2 linked regions of the Lytechinus pictus genome follow. The protein of the gene in region 1 purifies or fractionates together with the protein of each later gene. This does not show direct contact. Links are inferred from orthologs where the notes say so. Each region holds a gene or a part of one and is shown on either strand. Other genes may lie near its edges.

Region 1 (3,759 bases):
GTGCCGTCTATAGCTGCAAGAATTACCACAGATTTTATGAAGACAAGTGCAATTTTCTTTCATTTTCGCGCACTGTCTGTGCGTATTTTGAGCTGTGCAGCTGCTGTGTGCTTTGAATTGTATGCACGGACAGCGGGCATGCACTCTCGGCCCAGGGGTACGTCGGCGAGGCAGTGGAGGAAACTGGTCCCAGAATTCCAAGCAATAATAAAATGATGATCAATAAAACAAACTCTGCAGTAGATTTGATTACTTTATTCTAGTGTTATATTTTTGTAATATCAATCGATAGTCAAGAATACATGTTTCATAAATAATTATCTCAATCATGATTTTATTCAGAGTAGGCCTATAAACCGAGCTGTGTTTTCTTTTTCTCTCCACAGATAGGCTACATAATATTATTGCAAATTATTCAGGATCGTGGTCGGACATTCTGAAGTTTTATAAGTGGCATGCATAGACAAAATAATGAATGAAATATAACAAAAAATGAGAATAGATGAAAGTATATTGATAGAAAAATAAGCAAAAAAAATAAGAAAAAAGAATTTAATGAGGAAGGTGATCTGAAAGAGAAGTGACTGAATGCGATGAAATTAATTGAATATGTAAATGTTGAAATAAGATTTATTTCAAAAGAATGGAATATATATCATTTATATGAATTAAATATCCAGTTTCAGACAAAATAAAATTACAGAGGTTTGAGGGATAGGGCCTATACGGGATCATAAAATGTTTTTAATTTTATTAAAACTTAAAATGTTTTAAATTTAAATAAATTCAGATTTATAGTATTCTGCATGTCATAGGCCTATTATATATATATAAATATATATATATATATATATATATATATATATATATATATATATATATATATATACTAGCTTATTTTTGGCTTTAGATTTGTCTCATGCACCCCCTATATAGAAATTGTATGATCAAACTAAACAGCCCGACTTGCAAAAAAAGGACTATATTTCCCCCAAAATAACAAAAAACTTGGCTAGCTAAATTTATATGGAGATATATGGTCTACATTATGTTTCTCATGAATATTCTTTAATGGAAAAATATGCTATCTAATTTGGATCACCGATCGACGTGCTCTTTTCTAAAGACGATCGGCAATGACCCGCAATCACTTTTCCCACAAAATCTTCCCAAGTTTAGCCCCAGAAAACTTCGAAAATACGGTGAGTATTGAGTTCATACTTTCACTGGGCAATCATGATACAAAGATTGTTCTATAAATCTACATTCAAGTATCCAAAATAATTTAAATACGAAGAAATAAGACTTAAAAAAAACCCTGGATTTTGAGTGACACTACACAAAACATATGGCGTTGTATGGCTTCCCGAAAGCCGATTCCGCGTTTGCCCCCTTTCGCATCTCGTCATCCTCTGCGATGACAGACGCCCTCACGCGACAGACGCTATTTGCGATAAGGTCTATGAACAAGGTTGTGATGGCTATGGCCAAAGCAACGGCAGTCCTCTGAGCTCTGCCTTCGCCTGACCGACTTGACTAGCCCTGCGGCTTGCTCGCGCGGGTAGGCGCTACCTATCGCTAGCTAGCTCATTCATACCGCCGGCCGGCCCGATACAGGGTCAGTTGGCAAACGTGAACAAGGAACACCTTGACAACGGAAAGACGATCGATAATTACTACCACCACCTACACACCAGTAAATCAAATCATCAAATTGAACTCACAGGTACATGCAATCATTATCTATTCTTTCACAACCTCGGATAATTCTGGAGAGGAATAATACTCACTTTAGCTCCATCTTTCAGCATTTGGGCAAAGCCCGGTGCACGAGGTATGTTCATCGCCATGTTGAACTTCGGATGTAGTTAGTTGAGATAGATGTCTGAACAGCCGTTTTCTTGTACAATTTTATTATTACAAATCATTGGTATCCTTATTTACACGTGCATATTTTAGAGATAAATCCTTTTCATGTATAATAGCAATATTCAATTCTGTAAAAAAAATCTCTAATTAAAAAGCAAACAGAACATGACTAACTTTTATGTCAAATGACAATACTCGATGTACATGAAGGAGGAAACAACTGGAGAAAGACTATTCGCAAAAGCATGTTCTAGAAAAAAAAGTGAGTCACGGCGCGGCCGTCAGTCAGCTAGTGCAGTTATACAGTGCGTCCCAGAAAAAACGAAACCGAGATTTCGCGATGATTTATCATATCTTAAAGGACAAGTCCACCCCAACAAAAACTTGATTTGAATAAAAAGAGAAAAAATCAACAAACATTACACTGAAAATTTCATCAAAATCGGATGTAAAATAAGAAAGTTATGACATTTTAAAGTTTCGCTTATTTTTTACAAAATGGTTATATGAACGAGCCAGTTACATCCAGATGAGAGAGTCGATGACGTCACTCACTCACTATTTCTTTTGTATTTCATTATATGAAATATGAAATATTTTGATTTTCTCGTCATTGCCATGTGAAATGAAGTTTCATTTCTCCCTGAACACGTGGAATTCCATTATTTTAACATTTTGTTCTTCAGGCAAGGAGGTCCTAATCATCAAATTCGTAAAAATTGAAATATTGTATAATTCAAACAATAAAAAACAAAAGAAATAGTGAGTGAGTGACATCATCGACTCTCTCATCTGGATGTAACTGGCTCGTTCATATAACTATTTTGTTAAAAATAAGCAAAACTTTGAAATGTCATAACTTTCTTATTTTACATCCGATTTTGATGAAATTTTCAGCATTATGCTCGTCTGATTTTTCTCTATTCATTCAAATCAACATTTTTCTCAGGTGGACTTGACCTTTAATCATAAATTTGATAGACAAATGACATAGGCGGATCCAGCTTTTGGCGAAGGGGGGGGGGGCGTACTGCCGAGCGGCGCACATATTTTTGTACTTCACCGGCGCCATAAAAGAAAATGTTGAAAAAGGGGTAAAGTCTTTGCTGGGGGATAGTCTTTCCTTGACTGTTGCTAATATTATATCAGTGTATAATTTTTTTAAGCGGCGCCTTTTCTTTTCTTTTCTTTCCTTTATTTTTTATTTTTCTAAGCGGCGCCTTTTCTTTCTTTTACTTTTCTTTTATTTTTTTTTTGAGCGGCGCCTTCGGCGCTGCTCAAATATTAGGGGGGGGGGCATGCGCCCCCTGTATCCGCCACTGCAATATACCATTTGGCCATAGGATACAAAGGCAACATACAAGATAACAACCAGACAATTTGATTTCGCGATAAATGTTATACAACATCATTTGCAGTGACATGCACATTCGTGTAATAACAACTTGATCTAACACCACGTAGTATATCTGATAAGAAAATATAAAACCAAGTAGTTATAACACGAAAGTTCCTCTTAGAGTGATGTCATCTTACTTTACCACCCCCATAAGCGCAACAAAACAGTAAATATAAGAGGTCTACCTTTTTTTACTGATAATGCATTTTATCTGTATATCAGTGCAAAATTCGAATGAATCGCGGCCTGCTCTATGTGCCCCCTCTTCAACAAAATTCTGGACCTGCCCAATGCTCTCAAGTATGGATGGAAAGCCATCTATTTACGTTTGCATGAATCATAGTTATTGATTTGCTAAATATCATTAAATTGAATTGGATTGAATAATCTAAAAGTCCACGTTCTATTCCACTATTTTTTTCTACAAGGCCATTCTGCCTGGTTATCTTTCATAAACATTCTTCTATGCTTGAGAACAAAAAATATGGCTG
Region 2 (3,759 bases), on another chromosome or scaffold:
AACAATTTTGGGGTGGGGTTGCTGATGTACATTTTGACAAGCAAGCGAGAATAAAAAAAAAAACAATTCCCCAAAAGGGGGGGGGGGGTTCACAAACATGTTTCTTCGGTCTCGAAAATATTGACAAGCACCCCAAAGTAGAATAAAAATGGGTTTCACTACAAAATATAGGTCAGTTTGATAACATGTTTCCATTTTTTAACACCTACAATAATTTATGGGAGTGCTGCCTATAATCAGCTAGACGCAGCACCCCCAAGGAAAATCTTCAGCACCCCCGCATCCCATGCAGGGCCATGAAAATCACAAGGTAATAGTTGGGTCACGGTATTAACTGACATTGATTGCTTGTCATATCGAAAAGTTTAATTTTCTCTTCTTTTTATTCCGGATGGGGGCGGGGGTCCTCTCGCTCGCTTTGCACCTCTCACACGGCAGCATTTACTTCTTTTTTAAAATTAATTTCTTGAATGTGTGTACACCCGGGCGTTTGAAAGCCTCAGTTATGCATACATTTACGTAGGAATTGTGACTTTATTCGTACGACTGCATGGTGACCTTATCTTTGCCTTGAAGATGAGGGATATGATATGCAAGGCAGACCAAGCTTGCATGAAAAAGAAAAATACCCTGAGCTAGAACTCAACTGCTGGAATACAAATTAGACGCTTTGTCGATCTTTGATCAATTTTTTGTGAGAACTAAAAGGGGGTCAGATCTCATACACTTTGTTGATTTTGCTAAAAAAAAATAATATACTCCTTTTCCTATTTTTGACAATGTTTCTCTTTCTTTTCTCAGGTACTCCTGTTTGCATGCTAGCAATTTTTTTTAATTTTTTTTTTTGGGGGGCACGTGACCCCATATCCCAGTGTAGTTATTCACCTGGATCATGACTATCACTGACCTGTCAAGCATATACAAGGAGGATATTAATTCTTAAAAAATGTGACAAAACAAAATTTTAAAGGATTGCACTTATATTTTTTTTGCACTGAACGTGCAAGTAAAACAAAAACAAAATCGTGATCGATAGCGCTGCTGCATAGTATCGATATCTAGCTGAGGCGGAAATACTATCTCTCGAACCCGAGAAACGAGAGTTCTTATTTATTCTATTTGCGAAGCATCTGAGTCTCTCCCAGTTATCTAAAGTATATAGAAATCATGCAGGTAATGAAACGAAGTTTTGAGTGAGTGAATGATATTTATGATTATATATTTGTGTTGATTTTTAAGGGAATGTTGGGAAATTGAATAGAGGAAGCCTGAATACAATACACAAAAATGCACATTCGGGACTGAGCTGTGAGTACGTTTAAACATTGCACTCGTGATAAATCAATGGAAATGAGAAGTGGGCGGAGCTCCAGCAGAGCTTATCAATAGTCATTGCCGTGCGTGGATTTCCTTATTTGGTTATTAAAACATCTTCTTGTGTCTGGCAAAGGCTAAAACGTTTAAGATCTACATGTGTAATCATGATTGTTTTGTTGTTTTTGTTAATTTTCACTGAATTGGTTGTTCATTTGTACTAACTTTAGCCTTTTTAATGATAGGGAAGTTAGGGTGTCTGGAGAAAAGAAATATTTTTCTTATTTCAAGAAAATATCACATTTTTTTGTGAATTTGAAGAGAATTAACCATCAGACTGACAGAAATATAACATTTTTTGTTTAAATCCAATTATTTGCTGCAAAAAAGAAGAATGAAATTAGGTCAATTTTCAGCATTTCCTTGCCATAGACTGTGTAGTTAATAAATGGACACACACAAATCCAAATTTTTAGCTTCCGAGAGCTGTTATAAAAACTTATAAATTCATTATTAATGCCAAAAACTTGTCCATAAAGTGCCTAATATGAATTTTTATGCTCTTTCTGATGGTATGATTTTTATAAAGATTTGAAAACCAGATCACTATGAAAAATTGCGACAAAGTGAACAAATTTGTGCAAAACAAAAATTTCATTTTCCCATAGAAAACGCATGGGGAAATGGCAATCTCAACACACACACAAATAAGGGTTTGCAATTTATCTCTAAATCCTCATTTCAAATAATCCTATAAACTTGTCCTTACTGTTAAAAGAAGCCCCTGAATTTTCTCTTTCCATACATGCCAAATACAAGTTAAAGGACAAGTCCACCCTAACAAAAAGTTGATTTGAAAAAAGGAGAAAAATCCAACTAGCAAAACACTGAAAATTTCATCAAAATCGGATGTAAAATAAGAAAGTTATGACATTTTAAAGTTTCGCTTAATTTCACAAAACAGTTATATGCACATCCTATTCAGTATGCAAATTGGCAGACTGATGACGTCACCCACTCACTATTTATTTTCTATTTCATTATATGAAACATAAAATATTCTAATTTTCTCCTCCTTGTCAAGTGAAACAAAGTTTTATTTCTCCCTGAACATGTGGAATTACCATTATCTTAACAGTTCCTTATTGTCAAATTTGTAAAAATTGAAATATTTTATTATTCAAACAATAAAAAACAAAAGAAATAGTGAGTGATGGACATCATCGACTCTCTCATTTGCATATCGCTGAGTTGTACATTTAACTGTTTTGTGAAAAATAAGCGAAACTTAAAAATGTCATAACTTTCTTATTTTACATCCGATTTCGATGAAATTTGCAGCGTTATGTTTGTTTGATTTTTCTCTATCGATTCAAATCAACAATTTTCTGGGGTGGACTTGACCTTTAATAATTAATTCAGATCACATTTTTATAGCAGCCTGAATTTCCAGAAAAAATTTGCCATATTTTCCCCTAAATCAGCCTGTTTTAAGCTGACACTTTTCAGTGTGGCTTCAGACACCCTAATGATAGGCAAGAGTACCGTACTTGGGTCAAACCAAAAACTTTTGTAATTAGACCTACCACTACAGACACTGATTGAGTCAGCTAAGGTTAGTAGGCCTAGAACTTTGTAGAAGGAAACTTTATATTTTCTGAACATACACTATACATGTAGGTATACATGCACTAAATGATAATTGTTGAAGTATTAGTAATACTCTCAAACTTGTCAAAGAATTTTCTTACCATGACACAGGTACATGTAAATTAGATGGCCTTATTACAAAACAACATCTAAACTCAATCACAATTATTGGAAATACTCCTGTAAAATTGCAAAAAAACTGACCACAATGCACAACCATATCGTCCATCTGCCACGTCGACATCTGGTTTCAAGAATTAAAAGACTTTGTAATATATAACACTTACTTTGCTTGGAAGACGATTGACAGATGAATAGAATTTGTAATAGTATGAAGGTGGGCACCATGTCTGCGCACCTAATTATGTAATTTTTAATTTAACATGAATTTGTTTTAATTCCACAATACTTTTTCCATTGATAAAGTTCCTTATATGCTTATGAGGAAGTGTGCCAAAAATCTCATAAAAATTGGAAATAGATAATGGCCAGTCATTTTCAGATTAAAAAAGAAATGGTGCCCCATGTCTGCACACCCATTCACTTTACACACGATTCAGGGATTTTGATGAAGAAGGCAGCGTGTTGAGGCCGTCAGATGAAATGCCTAAAATTAAGTATTTTCCACCATTTTGAGTCAGATTTTTTAATGAATATCTGTCTATGTATTGCAGGTGTAAAGTTTTTTATCGTTGTGTATCTTCTTTTACTAGTATTAGAATCGTGCAGATAGGCATGCATGCAGACATGGGTGACTGCACAGACTTGGAGAACCTTACCAGAACACCATTGTGA

The links. The genes of interacting proteins can lie anywhere in the genome.
Region 2: the proteins of T-complex protein 1 subunit theta-like (region 1) and viral IAP-associated factor homolog purify together in Homo sapiens (affinity purification with mass spectrometry; 3 studies listed by BioGRID and IntAct, with this or other methods). This does not show direct contact. The link is inferred for Lytechinus pictus from reciprocal best matches to the Homo sapiens genes CCT8 and PDCL3.

The regions. Positions count from the first base shown.
Region 1 is NC_087248.1:14,145,167-14,148,925, forward strand, and holds the start of T-complex protein 1 subunit theta-like, read right to left. Parts: upstream 2,177-3,759; 5' UTR 1,851-2,176; coding exon 1,791-1,850; intron 1-1,790. UniProt on the Homo sapiens protein: Component of the chaperonin-containing T-complex (TRiC), a molecular chaperone complex that assists the folding of actin, tubulin and other proteins upon ATP hydrolysis.
Region 2 is NC_087245.1:32,495,714-32,499,472, forward strand, and holds the start of viral IAP-associated factor homolog, read left to right. Parts: upstream 1-1,016; 5' UTR 1,017-1,167; coding exon 1,168-1,173; intron 1,174-3,759. UniProt on the Homo sapiens protein: Acts as a chaperone for the angiogenic VEGF receptor KDR/VEGFR2, increasing its abundance by inhibiting its ubiquitination and degradation.